Linked DNA regions of Macaca mulatta. The protein of the gene in region 3 interacts with the protein of the main gene of each other region in a pairwise test. Links are inferred from orthologs where the notes say so. Each region holds a gene or a part of one and is shown on either strand. Other genes may lie near its edges.

Region 1 (5,358 bases), on a different chromosome or scaffold from region 3:
ATACGATTTGCAAATATTTTATTCTATTATGTGGGTTGTCTTTTCATTTTCTTGATAGTGTCCTTTTGTTACAGGAAAGAGGTCCCAATCCAGACCCCAAGAGAGGGTTCTTGGATCTCACACAAGAAAGAATTCAGGGCGAGTCCGTAAAGTGAAAGCAAGTTTATGAAGAAAGTAAAGGAATGAAAGAATGGCTACCCCATAGACAGAGCAGTGCCAAGGGCTGCTGGTTGCCCATTTTTATGGTTATTTCTTCATGATATGCTAAACAAGTGGTGGATTATTCATGCCTCCCCTTTTTAGACGATATAGGGTAACTTACTGACGTTGCCATGGCATTCGTAAACTGTCATGGCACTGGTGGGAGTGTAGCAGTGAGGACAACCAGAGTTCACTCTCGTGGCCATCTTGGTTTTGGTGGGTTTTAGCCCACTTCTTTACGGCAAGCTGTTTTATCAGTAAGATCTTTATAACCTGTATCTTGTGCTAATCTCCTATCTCATCCTGTGACTTGGAATGCCTAACTGTCTAAGAATGTAGCCCAGTAGGTTGCTCAGCCTTATTTTACCCAGCCCCTACTCCAGATGAAGTTGCTCTGGTTCGAATGCCTCTGACATTTTGAAGTACAAAAGTTTTTAGCTTTGGTGAATGCAATTTATGTGTTTTTTTCCTTTGTTGCTTGTGCCTTTAGTTTCATGTCTAAGAAACTATTACCTAATTCAAGTTCATAAATATTTACTCCTACATTTTCTTCTAAGGGTTTTTTGGTTTTTTTTTTTTTTTTTTTGAGAGGGAGTCTCGCTCTGTCGCCCAGGCTGGAGTGCAGTGGCGCAATCTCGGTTCACTGCAAGCTCCGCCTCCCGGGTTCGTGCCGTTCTCCTGCCTCAGCCTCCCGAGTAGCTGGGACTACAGGCACCCACCACCACGCCCTGCTAATCTTTTGTATTTTTGGTAGAGACGGGGCTTCACCATGTTGGTCAGGCTGGTCTCTATCACCTGACCTCATGATCCGCCCTCCTCGGCCTCCCAAAGTGCTGAGATTACAGGCGTGAGCCACTGTGCCTGGCCTTCTAAAGATTTTATAGTTTTAGTTCTTACATTTAGGTCGTTGATCCATATTTAGTTAATTTTTGCATATGGTGTGAGGTAGGAAGCATATAATTTTAATTTCTGCTTAGCCTGATGATAATCATGTGACCCTTTGTAAGTTTTTGCACCTAAGTCTCAATTTCCTTATTTGTAAAGTGAGAATAACAAATGGTAGCTAAATCATAAGGTTACAGTGAAGATAGAAAATTTACGTAGAGCATTTATCACAGTGCTTGAAGCATCCTAACTGCTCAATAAATGCGGTCGGTGTTGCAGTTATAACATGAGCGATGAATGCGTGCTTCTGCAGTGGAGCTCCAGAAAGACGGGCAGCATTTCTGAGAAGGTAAACGGGAGGAAGCAGGCTAGCTTAGTCCACTTAGAGAAGCAGGTCTGGGATTGTTGTGAGAGTCTCTGCCCTAGGTAGACCACTGCCTCGTGATCACCTCTGGGGATTGGTAAAAATTGGAATTCTCGGGCCCCATCAGAACTACTGAAAACAGCCTCCTGTGAGCACTGGGCTCGCAGTGGTTGGAGTGACGGCGGTCGCGCCGGCAGCGCCGCCTTGGGCCTGCGGGAGGCGCCCGAGAGACAGGGGCGACCACGGCGGCTGCGCAGAGTCCTCTCTAGGCCGACTACCCCACCAGCGGGATCCGCTTGGCTCAGCTGACAGCTCCCGAGAACGGAAGAGGCGGTGCGCCGGTTGAGCAGGGAATTGCTAGGCCTGGTCGGCTGGCGGCGGTGAGTGGGCCCCGGGCAAGGGCGGAGGGCGGAACTTTGGAGCTTGGCACTGCCGGGTGGCCGGAAGGTACGGTGGGGACAGCTCTCTGGGCGCGCGAGGCAGAAAAGGGGACCGGGCCAGGACTGTACAGTGGGCCTCAGTCGCTCAAACCCGGGACCGGGCGTCCGCAGCCCAGCTGGCCGGGACTCCCTTCCGGACGCTCCTGAGGAGGAAGAGAAAGGTGTGGGCCCTGCTTCTTTGGGAGGCCCCAGGCTGGCCAGCAGCTCACACGCCCGGATAGCGCCCTCTGATCCCAGCGCTGGGGCGGATAGCTAGCCTTGGACTTGCCCCTGTTTTGGGGTAGTCGCCCAAACGACTCCGCACGCCGGGTGGCGAGCTGAACCCAGACCAGGACACCCGAAGACCAAATGGATAGAATGAGAAGGAAATGGGGGTAGCAACCAGAATTGAGGTACTGGCTTCCAAGTGACAGCTTCACAAGCTGAAATCTAGTAGGGTAGGTCATGAGGAACTGTTGAAACACTGCTTGGAGTAGAAGTTGCTAGCCCTGACTGCATATTGGAATCACCTGGAGAACTTGGACAACTACTGAGGCCTGAATTAATTGTTCTGGGTGTGGCCTGGGTATTCAGATTTTAAAAAACAGCTCCTTAGAAGATTCTAATGTGCAGTCAGATGGAGAACACTAACCTAAAACCATAAACTGCATAAATGAATCTCTCATCCCATTTGCAAATGTTTTAACAGGAAGAAACAAAAAGCTTAATTAGCACCATATATTCCCACCTAGTAAAATTGTTTAAGATTAAATAAGACAATGTGAAAGGACCTAATACTGTACGTAGTAGGTGCTCAATAAATGTAAATTGATTCTGAATCTCATTCTTATTGGGGAGTTACACATCCGAGAATCTGTAACTTTTTAATTATGGTTTTGTATATGGTATTTTTGCATATAATTTTAGGGTGTTGATAGGATTCTCCATAACCCATCTGAGACCATACTCCCTTTTCCCCTCACCCCAGTGAAGAAGCCTAGCTCTAAAGCGTTTAGAATAAAACTTAAAAGTTTCTGTTTGTGTATTCTTGTTTTGTTTAAGTATTTTTCTGTTATCAGAATTAACCATGAGTGCCACTGGTGGTATTAATTCATGAACAAGAGAGGAAAAACTGGAGGGGGATGGCAAATGAAGGAATACAAAAAGCAGAAGAGGAAAGGAGAAAAAACAAGAAACTGAAGAGGCTGTTTGTTATGGGGCATGGTGTCCTGTCCTCTCATATGACCTTGGTGTTCCTCCTTACCTCCTCCCATGGCTGAGGGCAGACAGATAAAAAGTCCTCAGTCATTGCTGGGCACATGCAAATACTCCTTTAACCACATGGCTCAGTCAGTCTGCCCTAGGAGAGTAACATGCACCTGTAGATTAGGATTGGCTGTATGTTAGGATATGTTTGACTTAAGTGGTGATCATGGAAATTCAGAATTTTAATTTGGAGAGGGTCCTAACACCATCTTTTGTATTTCTTTTCTGCAGATGGCAGGATTTTCATAGTATATGTAGTATGAGTTCCACATCTTGGCCTCTTATCCAGCTTCAGCAGTCTCAGCTCCACCAGTTAGAGAATAAATGGGATTTGCACGAACTCCACTCTGAGCTGAAATACAGACTGTGGTGTTAATATTCTTTTCTTCTGGTTGTTATTAACAGGTACTAACTGACCTCAAGTAGAACATGTAATTGTGTCTTTTAGGGAGGCAACTTAAGCAGAGCCATGAACTAACGTCTCCTAGAAAAAGTGTTTTTTGAAATGAAATCATTTTAAATTTCACAGTATGACCTTTTAGAATGTAAAAAAATCCTAACTTTTTAATTATGTACATTTTAATTAAAAATATTTTAGTTGTGAGGGAGGATATTTGCAAATGCAATTGTTGTTCAGTATTTTAATTGACAGAATGGTATTTTGTTTTATTAAAATGATTTTTGTAAATTCTCATTGCTTATTTTTTTCCACATTTAAATTATCTGAAATTGCTGTATCTTTCAGTTGACGCTATTTTAAAAAACATTGATTCATACTTTATTTATTTTTATTTATTTATTTATTTTTTTGAGACGGAGTCTCACTCTATAGCCCAGGCTGGAGTGCAGTGGCCGGATCTCAGCTCACTACAAGCTCCGCCTCCCGGGTTCACGCCATTCTCCTGCCTCAGCCTCCCGAGTAGCTGGGACTACAGGCGCCTGCCACCTCGCCCGGCTAGTTTTTTTTGTATTTTTTAGTAGAAACGGGATTTCACCGTGTTAGCCAGGATGATCTCGATCTCCTGACCTCGTGATCCACCCGTCTTGGCCTCCCAAAGTGCTGGGATTACAGGCTTGAGCCACCGCGGCCGGCCCCATACTTTATTTTTTGAGACAAGGTCTTGCTCTGTCACCCAGGCTGGAGTGCAGTGATGCAGACATGGCTCACTGCAGCCTCAGCATCCAAGGCTCAAGCGATCCTCCTACCACAGTCTCCTAAGTAGCTGGGACTACAAGCACACACCACCATACCTGGCTAATTTTTTATAGAGACAGGATCTTGTATGTTGCCATGGCTGATCTCAAACTGCTGGCCTCAAGCGATCCTCCTGCCTTGGCCTCTCAAAGTGCTGGGATTACAGGCATGAACCTCCACACCCAGCCAGTTCATACTTTAATAGTAGCTAATTTCTTTCTTTCTTTCTCTTTCTTTTTCTTTCTTCCCTCCCTCCCTCCCTCCCTCCCTCCCTCCCTTCCTTCCTTCCTTCCTTCCTGTCTCTGTCACCCAGGCTGGAATGCAGTGGCGCAGTCTCAGCTCACTGCAGCCTCCGCCTGCTGAGTTCTAGTGATTCTCAGTTCTCGTGCCTCAGCTACCAAGTGGTTGGGAATGCGTGCACCACCACGCCCAGCTAATTTTTGTATTTTTAGTAGAGATGGAGTTTTGCTGTGTTGGCCAGGCTAGTCTTGAACTCCTGGCCTCAAGTGATCTGCCTGCCTTGCTCTCCCAAAGTGCTGGGATTAAACGCTTGAGCCACTGTGCCTGGGCCTTGCAGCTAAATTCTTAGTATTACCTAAAATAATGGTAAATCTTTCTTAAAATTATTATCTTTTAAATATTCTTAAGTCATAATGGTAAATCTTAAAATTGATGACTGCTTGGATTTGACAAAATCTGTTATTTCAAAAATTTAATATTGTTTTGCTGCTTGCTCAGTTATCTAATTTTCTTGTATCTATGCCTGTAACATCCTCAAGCACAGTTTTCTCAACTGGAAGCAATTTTGCCTCCAACCCCCATCCTGTCCCAGGACTTTCGGTGCTACTTGGAGATTTTTTTTTTTTTTTGAGACAGGGTCTCACTTTGTCACCCAGGCTGGAGTACAGTGGTGCTATCATGGCTCACTGCAGCCTTGACCTCCCAGGGGTGATTTGCCTGCCTCGGCCTACCAAAGTGTTGGGATTACAGGCGTGAGCCACTGCACCTGGCAAATTAACTTATTTTAA
Region 2 (5,483 bases), on a different chromosome or scaffold from region 3:
CGGATAGGGCAGCAACAGGCTGACAGCTTTCCACAGAAGGAGAGATTATATGGCCTCGGCAGCAAGAGCCTGTTTCAGAGCATAATCTTTACGTGTTAAGAGGTTTTTTCTGCTGTCTCAATCCCTCAAGTCTCCATTCAGCAACAAATAGATTCTCAGAAGTGATGGAAGGTAGCTGGTCCCTATACTCCAGACAACTCAGCAGAAATGTGAAGACAGAATAATCTATCTTTCAGCCTTCCCTTAACCTGAAAATATTCCTAATGTTTCTGCCACTGTCTAACCTGTTCCATTTTCCATCAGTCTTCTCTGCAGCTTCTTCAACCCTCTGCAGCCAGAATTGCACATTACTCTTTGTCCAGCAGGAAGACACCTATAGGCCTTGACCACTCCCGTTTTTACCAAGTGATGTTCCTGGCTCTGTTGGGTTGGTCAGATCTCTTCCTATTGTGCCTCCCTGCCCCTAAGCCACCACCTCCACAGAATTTACCTCTGCCAAGATGTCAGCACAGTATTTGTGTTCATCAAGGAAGTAATATGCAATTCCTTCTTCTCGTATCTGACTTGCTTTTTTTTCCTAGCTCATATCTGATTTTCACATGTGCCTTGGGATCACAGGGATGGAAAAGCTGGGCCTCACAGGGACCTCCTAGGTCTAGGGCACTGAGTAAGAGGGCATAGTGGAAGACAGCAAGACTGTCTCACATCTAACAAGCACACTCACCCTCACCCGGTTTTCCTAGGTCAGAGCCTGGGGAGAGCCAAAGGGTAAGGGTGGGCCATGGTCTTCTTACCCCCTGGACACCGGGCGGGAAGACGTACTGGATGACAATGGTGCCATACTTCTCATAGCTGGGTAGTAGGAGGGTGGCGTCCTTAGAGACCAGCATCCGCCCATTCTGGGGCTGGTTGCCCACCAGCTGCCCATAGAAGCGGCCGCACATGGGGCAGGCCTTTTTCACCTGCAGAGCCCGGGTGATGCAGCCCTCGCAGAATGAATGCCGGCACTTCTCCAATGTCTTGGCATTCTGGATCTCCCCCAGACAGATGGGGCAGGTGCTCTCCTGCTCTTCTGCCTCCTCCCGAAGGCGAGGAGGAAGAGGTGGGGGCAGGGGGGGAGGAGGAGGGGGGAGCCCCCGAGCCCCTGGGGGCAGAAGTGGGGCTGCTCGGAGAGGGGGTGGGCCTGCGCGGTGCATCTCAGGGTGCTCCCCTCCACCCCCCAGAGCCAGGCAGCCCATCAGCTCCCCCTGCCTCTGAGCTTTCTTCAGCTCTTTCTCTGCCTCTTTTAGCAGCCCCTTAAGAGCCTTCCGGGCTAGGTAGAGCCCATTGGGAGGGGCCGGGGGAGGGCCCTGTGGGGAAAGCTGGAGAACATAGATGTCAGAAGTCTCGCCATCTATGAGGATGGACACACGATGCTCCTCCCGAAGCCGGGCCAGCCGGGCTGGGGTCTCTTTGCTCAGGAAGTCCCACACAGGCTTGGAGACAGTCACTTTGTTCTTGCAGGTGCCTCCACAGGCTGCCATTCTGGACAGGACGAACGACACTGCCCCCAGGGTGAAAGGGACTCAGGGTGGGGGGTCCCCATTTGACAAGTATCAGTGCCTCCTACTTCAGGTTCCTTCCAAACCCTCTATTACCTCTGTTTTCTCAAAGCCTAATCCCCAACCCTTCCCCCAAATTCATATTCTCTCTCCCCTTATCTTCCAAACCCAGCGCCCACTGAAGAGCAAAAAAGTTTCCAGAGCTGTATTATCATCTAAGCCAAGTATCAGTCTTGTTTCTCCTGTCATTTCTCCCAGATCATAGAAACAATTTGCCCCTCCCACTTCTGGGGGGAAAATGGGCTCTTTAAAGGGGAGGGAGACTTTTTGCCCCTCCTTTTTGCTTACTTTGATCCTGAAGAGCTTAGAATTGGCATGCAGGCTCACTCTTTTTTCCCTGCTCCCTACTTGTAGGTCGTGTGAGCTGGTAGGGCGGAAAAAAAGGAAGGAAAGTGAGAAACCCCTTCTCCCAATTCCCATGGCCCCCAACCCAGCAGCCCATGGAACAGAGACAGAAACCTGGGTATAGGTTACTGAGAATGGTAACATGGAATGAAGGAAACCAGCTTAAGGGTGAAAATTGAGGATCCCTTGTGGGAGAGATACCTGGGAAGCCCATGGAAGATGATGGCAGCAGAAATCCTTCTATTTCCACTCAGCTGACCAGGACTGGGAATAGGGGAAGGGTAAAAAGTTATGATGGCAAATGTTACCATTTCCCTCAGCCAACCCAGAAATAAAAACTCCACTTCCATCTCCTCTCTCCTCTGCAGAATTCCATCATCAGCTTCTCCCCAAGTTGCTCAAGAAGGAACATGCTAACCTTCCTCCTTTCTTCCCCAGCTCTGAGGCCCCCAAGAAAGCCTAGGGCACACATAAAAGATGTCAGGAAAGAAAACGCCCACACAGGTGGAGGTCTTCTTGCCACCTCCCTCAGATCACATGGACCGGAATATTTCCTATGCTCTCCAACTCCTCCCCTGCTCCACGTTCCCAAATAATTCAGCCCCTATTGCCAGGGAGCCTTCCTTGAGAGCTAACTCAGTCCCTTCTGCTGAAGTCTGTTAAGGATGTGAACAAAGTGGCAGCAGCCCCTGCAATAACAAAGTTCTCATTGTCACCTTTTAAACCCAGCACAGGCAGGGCTGTCTGTCAGCTCCCAAGTCTGGCATTTAGGGAGGGGCGGGGCTCACACAAGGGCTCAGCTGGAGGGGCCTGATGTTTCCCCTGAGCCTGGTCGCATTGGGCTACCAGGCTGTACCCACAACACTTCCAAATGCAGCTCAAACAGAAAGAAGGGCCATTAGTGTGACCTCCATTCAATGACTGATCCAAAAAGGAGCAGCTGTCCCTTCATGCCTCCATCATCGTCCCCCAAGGCCAGATGCACCTCGAGATTCATAAAGTGAAAATGGAACCCTAGAGTCTCAGCCCATACAGTGTATCTGCGCTGCAACACCCCCCTCCCCATCACAGGGGACCCAGGACCTAGGTGTCCTAGCTCCAAGTCCTGCTGGCACAGAAAAGGGAGGCGGGGCCACAGTTTAGGGTGGGTCTGTGATTCCTCTGTGGGAACCCAGGCCGGACAAGGGACAGTCTCTCCCTCTAGATAGAGGCCAGAGGGAGGGACAGCCCGGAAGGGCAAGGGTCCCTGGGGGCATCCACTGAGGCAGCTCCCGCCCTACCCCCACGGCCTCCTCCAAGACCCGACCCGGAACCAACTCCCCACATCCCTCACTCGCCAAAGCCCCCGGATCCCCATTGCCGGGCGGGGATGCATGTCGGCCCCGATCGCAGCCCTCAGAAACCCCGAATGGAGGCCAAGGCTGGAGGGTGCTAGAAAGATGATCGGCCGGGCACGGAGCGGGGAACCCGGAGCCGCGCGCGGGGAGGGGAGGTGGAGGAGGGGGCGCCGGGGGAGCGAGGGGCGTGTGAGGGGTGCGAGCGGGGCCTGGGGGGCGCGCGGTGGGTGTGGGGGGCGCCGGGCTCACCTACCTCTCGTCAGCGCCGCCATTGCCGGTCACATGACTGAGGCTGTTGCTGGGATGACGGTCCGGGCCTTAGCAACAAGGGGGGGGGAGACCCCGAAAGGTTGGGGGTTGCAGGGGGTGCAGGCTGAGGGAAAGGGAAGGAGGGAGGACAGCACCCTCTTTCCCCTCACAGGTGATAATCACCGTTCCTTTGACCCCCTTCTATCCGCAAGCCCCTGCCCTTCCTCCCCAAAACAAAAATGGAGGCGCTGTTCCAGTCTTTGGAGGGAGGGGGTGGCGTCATGGAACTGAGGGTAGGAGGTTAAATCCCTGGAGACGCCACCCTTCTCGCTCCCCGCTCCCGGCGGAGCACTCTCCCTTTTCTTTCCCAGCCAGCTGCGTAGCAGCTCCGGGGAGCTGGTGGTGGATGGGTGGGTGAAGTGTTGGTGGGTATATGGGGATTCGGGGGGGAGGGCGGCAATTTTTTGAATCCTTATGGTAGAAGGGCCTTTGAGGAACAATGTGGGATGGGAAGAGTCATAGTAAAAAAAAAAGCATTGGTTTTAAAAAATAAACAAATCCGGGTACTAAACTATTTCAATCCCCTCCCTCATCTGCCTCTTTCTAGATTGTTACCTCCTGTGACCCCCACAACCTGCTCTCAGTTGGTCATTGGTAAGTGCCTCTGATTTTTCTCTTTCCACAAACAGGGATATGGAGGCTGGTGCAGAATGGGAAACGAATACATTTTTTAAAAAATGGCTTGAGGTGGTGGTAGTGTCAAGTGTGTATGGTTCAAATAGAGTTAAAAACTCTCAGGAAAAAAAAAAAAAGCTCTGCTCTGCTTCCCACATCAAGCAGTCTCTGCCCAATTCAACTCACTTCCCTAGGGCCACATCAAGCCAGGTTTTTCCACCAGCCAAAAGACTTCCTCAGCCAAGACAGGAATCTCCCAAACTGGCAACAACCTCTATTCATCCACCCCTTTTTCACTCCCCCTCTAGACTGGAGAGCTGGTCACTTTCTTCACTTTCCCAGGACTCTGCTGTACTCTTCCTTCCCTCCAGGAAGAAGACAGCTTTCCCAGGAAGCCTGGGGGAATACTGGATTCCGTTTCTTTTAGCTGGTGGGCTGAGAGGCCTACTCACCTTTACAAAGATGGAGTGTTAGCAAGCCCAGAACTCAGGGAAGAGGAAGGGTCCCATCACCCTACCCTTCCCTGGCCCTCACTACCTCTGACCTCCCACGAAGTTGAAGACTTAAGTTTTCCATTCCGGTGCACACCCTTCACAGCTTTTTAAAAAACGTTCCCAGCCATCTGTCTAGAAACCCACATCCTTAGTTAGGGGCCCAACACCTTGAACACCAGAATTCTTCAGCTGGTCTCTGCACCCTTAAGCACAGGCTTCCTCAGAGAAGTAAAATTAAAAAAATAAAAATAAAATAAAAAAATAAAAAGTTCTGTACAGGAATTTGGATTGAATAATTTATTCCCTGTATTATGATAGTAATGGGAGCAAATACACAATTTTTTATTAATAAAACAAAAAAAGATGAAAAACAGAAGCAACAAATGAAGACATCCATACTGCCCATAATACATCAGCCATGCGATCAGAAAACCCATTTCTAAAGAACAACGGTTGCTGGTGTCCGAGTTTTATTGCATTCATCGGGGGAAAGGGAGATGGTTGGAATGAAAAAGATCCATCAGTCTTCTGACAGGAAGATGTTATAAGGGGGCTCCAACCCCAATGGGTACGCCTCTTGTTACCACCTTTGGAGCAGAAGATGAAGGGGAGAGAGAGCTTCTCCCTATGGCCTCATGGCTTCTTGTGAGACAGATCAGTCCAGCCAGATACAGAGCAAAGCAGCTTTGCATCACCACAGGCCAGTTGCTGGTGCCCACCTTTATGTTTAAAAAAAAAAAAGTGGAAGCCTCAAGAGGGATGGAGGATACCAAGAAGAATGG
Region 3 (5,196 bases):
TTAGACGGAGTCTCGCTCTGTCACCCAGGCTGGAGTGCAGTGGTGCAATCTCAGCTCACTGCAACCTCCACCCTCCGGGTTCAAGCAATTCTCCTGCCTCAGCCTCTGGAGTAGTTGGGGTTACAGGCGTGCACCACCACGCCTGGCTAATTTTTTTGTATTTTTATTACAGAGGGGTTTCAGTACATAGGTCAGGCTGGTCTCAAACTCCTGACCTTAAATGATCCACCCATCTTGGTCTTCCAAAGTGCTGTGATTACAGGCATGAGCCACCTCGCCTGGCCATTTTTTAATTTTTAGTGGAGATGGAATTTTGCTGTGTTGCCCAGTTGGTCTCAAACTCCTGGACTCAAGCAATCCACCCGCCTTGGCCTCCCAGAGTGCTGGGATATAGGTATGGGCCACTGCACCCAGCCTGTCCTTGATTCTTATCAAGGAAAAGTTCTCCCTGGCCTTATGACTTCAGTTACCTTGGATCTATAGTTGACATTTCATGCTCAAGGTCCAAACTTGTTTTTCCAAACCCTTCCTTTTATAAATCTTATCAGCCTATACATTTGAATATGTAGGCTCAAACCTTTACTCCTTAATCTCTCCTACCCTCCTCCCTGCCTTCAAAACTTCTGATTCCCCATCCTAGATAATAACACCACCATCTACTAAGTGACCCATTTTGTACACCTCCTTGTTTCACTTTCACCACGTCCTCTCCTCAAGTCCTGTCAATTCCACTTCTGTGATGTGGTCCAGGCACTGCTTTGTGACCCATTTTGTACACCTCCTTGTTTCACTTTCACCACATCCTCTCCTCAAGTCCTGTCAATTCCACTTCTGTAATGTGGTCCAGGCACTGCTTTGGCCTAGCATCCATTCCATGGTCATTAATTTGGGCAAAGCCTCTGCTGAATCTTCACAACAGCCTCTAGTCTCCCTCTGTCCCACTTTAGGCCACACTGCCGCCAGAAGGATCTTTTTATAACACAGATCTCAGCACGTCATTCACCTGCTTCAAAGTCCTAGGATGACAGATGACCCCTTTCAGAGAATAACTCATCAAAATTATCTCTCTTTTGGACAGCTATTTAAAAAGAAGAGTCATACTCTCAGAGATCCTGTTATTCCACCTCTGGCAATCAAACCCAGTAATGTGAATTAAGGAAAAGGCTCACTGTACAATGATGGTTGATCTGGTTTGGATATTTGTCCCCTCCAAATCTCATGCTGAAATGTGATCGCCAGTGTTGGAGGCGGGGCCTGGTGGGAGGTGTCTGGGTCATGGGGGCAGATTCCTCATGAATGGCTTGGTAGCCCCCCAACAATAATCTGTGAGTGCTCACTCTATTAGTTCATGCGAGATCTGGGTGTTTAAAAGAGCTGGCATCTCTCTCGCTCCCTTTCTTACCAGGTGACACGCCTGCTTCTCCTTTGCTTTCCGCCATGATTGTAAGCTTCCTGAGGCCTCACTAGAAGCAGATGCTGGCACTATGCTTCTTGTACAGCCTGCAGAACTGAGAGCCAAATAAACCTCTTTTCTTTATTAATTACTCAGCCTCAGATATTCCTTTATAGCAAACAAAACAGCCTAATACAAAGTTCATAACAGCAAATAGTGAAGAATTTTGAACAACAGCAGCTAACTCATATTGAGTGCTTGGTATACAGCAAGCATGTGCTAAACACATTTCATAGCATTTAATTCTCGAAACAACTCTGTAAACATGTAGGACTGGGAGGCTAGGAATGATTAAGTGCCTTACCCAAGGTCCCACTATAAGTGACCTCACATTCTCTAACCCAGGTCTGACACCCAAGTTCATACTTTTACCTACTACAGTTTTACCTACTACAGGTAATGACTAAATAAGTCACTAGTCATGTACTTGTGGAAAGTTAATGTTAAAAATTAGTTACAGAACTGGACATGGTGTCTCACGTTGTAATCCCACCACTTTAGGAGGTGGAGGCAAGAGGATCGCTTAAGCCCAGGAGTATGAGACCAGCCTGGGCAACATAGTGAGACACTGTCTCTACAAAAAATAAACAATTGGCTGGGCATGGTGGCATGTAGTCCCCGCTACCCAGGAAGCTTAGGAGGGAGGATCACTTGAACCCGGACGGTTGAGGCTGCAGTGAGCCATGATTGTGCCACTGTACTCCAGCCTGGGCGACAGAGCAAGACTGTCTCAAAAAAAAAAAAAAGTTATAAATACTACTTCACAACATGCTTACATTTACTATTATGTGAATAAGTGGAATACAAAATGCAGGATAATTGTTTTAAATATAGAAAAAACTGAACATAGGTATGCTAAAATGTTAACAAATAGTAAAGTGATAGGATTAGAAATACTTCTTTCTTCTACTGTTGTGCATTTTCCAAATCCTAGTGAATGCATTAAACCTTCATGGACTCCCTCTTACCTACAGGATAAAAATCAGTTATTTCAGCACTGCCCCTAAGGACCACCCGAGTCCACACCATCTGCCCTTCAGCTTCTCCCCTATCCTGTCAGTCCTCCAGGCCTCGTGGTCTCCCCATTGCCGGGAAAGCCTTTTTCCCTCTTCCCCACCTGCCGAGTTCCTACTCATCGCTTAGGACCCAGCTTCATCCTGGATACCCTTCTGGATACCCTTCTGGATACCCATCCAGCCCTTCTGGATACCCTAGAGGAGCAAGCTTGCCTTACTCCGGGGACCCAGCAACCCGCTGTCCAGGAGCCTGCAGGTGGCCCCACGGCGCCCCGCCAGCGTGACGCAGCCCACGTGGTCACGGCCCGGCCCCGCCCCGCGCTCGCGCAATCCCCTTCTCAGGCTGCGTTAGCTTTTCAGGCTGCGCGGGTGGCTGTTCGGCCACCTTCCTAGGCAGGTGTATCCGCGACTTGCGGAGCCTTTGTCACCTTTCACTTCACGGCAGCGGCGCCCCGCCCACACCTCGACGCTTCGGACACCCAAAGAGTCGGAGGGTGGGAAAGTGCGTACCTTCTGGATCCGCTTTAGCGCCATCCTACCCCGCTGCCGGGGACCCGGGCGGCCCGGCCAGGGCTGCCTGAGGCGGCCCGCTGCCGGGTCAGCCGCCACCGAGCTGCACGCCGGGAGCCGCCGCCTGCGCTTGCGCGCGCGGGGAACTGTGGGGCCGTCGTCGCCGCGTGCAGAGCGTCCTGGCGCGGCCGAGGGGAAGCCGCGGGGCTGCCCCGGTTACGCTGGCCACCCGCACCCGGTCCTGTGGCTTCGACCACTGGTCAGCAAGGCCCCGGAGAGGCCAGCGAAGAGGAGGGGCTCGTTGGCTTTACCAGACGCGCGGAGCACCCTCAAGGTGCCAAACGCTCGCTTGCTCCCTGTTCCTACATCCTGGGCGTCTTCTCAGGCTGTCATATAACTCCTGAGAATAGTGGTTCTTAACTCTGTAAGTATACATACCCTTGTACGCCTTATGGCTGGATGCGTTACAGCCATTTCCATGTAGATGTCTGTGCATATGTGCACACGCACAACTCTCCGCAGTTTTGGAGATCTCCGTGTTCAGTCGTACCTCACGTGATCTTGCACTGCCAATGTTGAGAACCAATGCCTTAGACTATGCATCACCCAAACTTAATTAGCTGTCTCCTTCCTGTTTTCCTAAGACTTGGCAGGCGTGTAGGTCAGAGTTGTTTAAACTGAGGGTTATGAACTATTTAGTGTGTCACGAAATCAATTTAATAGGTTGCAACCAACATTTGAAAAAAAAAAAGCCAGACGAAGTGGCTCACGCCTACAATCCCAGCACTTTGGGAGGCTGAGGCAGGCGGATCACTTGAGGTCAGGAGTTCGAGACCAGCCTGGCCAACATGGTGAAACCCCGTCTGTACTAAAAATACAGAAATTAGCTGGGCATAGTAACGTATGCCTGTAATCCTAGCTACTTGAGAGGCTACTTGAGAATCACTTGAACGCAGGAGGCAGAGGTTGCAGTGAGCTGAGATCGCGCCACTGCACTCCAGCCTGGGCAACAGAGTGAGACTGTGTCTCAAAAATAATAAAAAATAAAAATAAAAAAGAGAAAAAAATGTCAGTGCCTTTCACACAGTGAAGGTAAGAATTGTGGATGTTTTGTTGCTGTGTATATGTAGATGATATTTAATCTTCAGACTGAGACATGTTTGAGCATGAAAGTGGCTCTTAATATAATTACTCTGGGACCAAAGCCATAATTTAGGATTGTCTCCAGCCAGCCAGGACACATGGTCACCTCTATGTTTGTACTTAGGAAACAAAATGTATTATAGACATTTCAATGGTTGCCCAGCTTTGTCCCTGGCTTTCATGCTCCTATTCCCCCAATCTGTCCTCCACACAACTTCATAAACTGTCTGAAATATAAAGCTTACCACACTGCATCCTTACCCAGAACTCTTCAAGGAAGCCCAGTGGCCTATAGCATCACATTCACTGTCATTCAGGGGCCTTCAAAATCCAGGATCTTCAGCCAGGCACAGTGACTCACGCCTGTAATCCCAGCACTTTGGGAGATTGAGGTGGGTGGATCCCTTAGTCCAGGAGTTCTAGACCATCCCTGGGCAACATGGTGAAACCCCGTCTCTACAAAAAATACAAAACTTAGCTGGGCATGGTGGTGTGCGCCTGTAGTCCCAGCTACTTGGGAGGCTGAGGTGGGAGGATCACTTGAGCCCGAGAGATCAAGGCTGCAGTGAGTTGTGATGGCACCACTGCACTCCAGGCTGGGAGACAGAGCAAGACCCAGTCTCAAAAAAACAAAAACTCAAAACAAAATCAAGTATCCTCCAGCTTTACCTTCTCCTTCCTACCTCCAGCCCACCTGACTATCAAGTGTTTCCATCACCACAGCATCTACATTCCTTGACTAGAGCATTCACTTTCCAAAGCCAGCTCAAGCATCACCCATTGAACGGCCCAGGTCAAGCGCTTCCCCTTGGTGTCAAACATTTACAACAGAAATTTTTGTTAGTCCATGGGCCATCCATCCTCCTACATTATTGACATGGCCTTCCCTCCCCATAAAACAAGTGATTCTAGATTTTATAAATGTTTATATATTTATGTAAGAACATATAAATGATTATTTATGTGCTAAGAATATATATGGTGGTTTTGATGTGTCAAATCTCAAAAAGTATTTTTGGATGGTAGGTTTACTAATGTGTTAATTTCTAAAATTTCTACAGAGAATTTGCATCA

The links.
Region 1: the proteins of UBE2D4 (region 3) and RNF14 interact in binary tests that used the Homo sapiens proteins (3 or more experiments, as listed by UniProt). The link is inferred for Macaca mulatta from reciprocal best matches to the Homo sapiens genes UBE2D4 and RNF14.
Region 2: the proteins of UBE2D4 (region 3) and DTX3 interact in binary tests that used the Homo sapiens proteins (3 or more experiments, as listed by UniProt). The link is inferred for Macaca mulatta from reciprocal best matches to the Homo sapiens genes UBE2D4 and DTX3.

What each region holds. Positions count from the first base shown.
Region 1 is NC_133411.1:150,823,403-150,828,760, forward strand, and holds the start of RNF14 (E3 ubiquitin-protein ligase RNF14), read left to right. Parts: upstream 1-1,787; 5' UTR 1,788-1,830; exon of another isoform or gene 1,831-2,327; intron 2,328-3,366; 5' UTR 3,367-3,540; intron 3,541-5,358. UniProt on the Homo sapiens protein: E3 ubiquitin-protein ligase that plays a key role in the RNF14-RNF25 translation quality control pathway, a pathway that takes place when a ribosome has stalled during translation, and which promotes ubiquitination and degradation of translation factors on stalled ribosomes.
Region 2 is NC_133416.1:64,772,941-64,778,423, reverse strand, and holds the start of DTX3 (putative E3 ubiquitin-protein ligase DTX3), read right to left. Parts: upstream 3,572-5,483; 5' UTR 3,537-3,571; intron 2,211-3,536; 5' UTR 2,148-2,210; intron 1,966-2,147; 5' UTR 1,919-1,965; coding exon 1,890-1,918; intron 1,544-1,889; coding exon of another isoform or gene 1,525-1,543; coding exon 795-1,524; intron 1-794. UniProt on the Homo sapiens protein: Regulator of Notch signaling, a signaling pathway involved in cell-cell communications that regulates a broad spectrum of cell-fate determinations.
Region 3 is NC_133408.1:84,433,846-84,439,041, forward strand, and holds the start of UBE2D4 (ubiquitin-conjugating enzyme E2 D4), read right to left. Parts: upstream 3,477-5,196; 5' UTR 3,460-3,476; coding exon 3,418-3,459; intron 3,404-3,417; exon of another isoform or gene 3,004-3,403; coding exon of another isoform or gene 2,980-3,003; exon of another isoform or gene 2,810-2,979; intron 1-2,809. UniProt on the Homo sapiens protein: Accepts ubiquitin from the E1 complex and catalyzes its covalent attachment to other proteins. In vitro able to promote polyubiquitination using all 7 ubiquitin Lys residues, but may prefer 'Lys-11' and 'Lys-48'-linked polyubiquitination.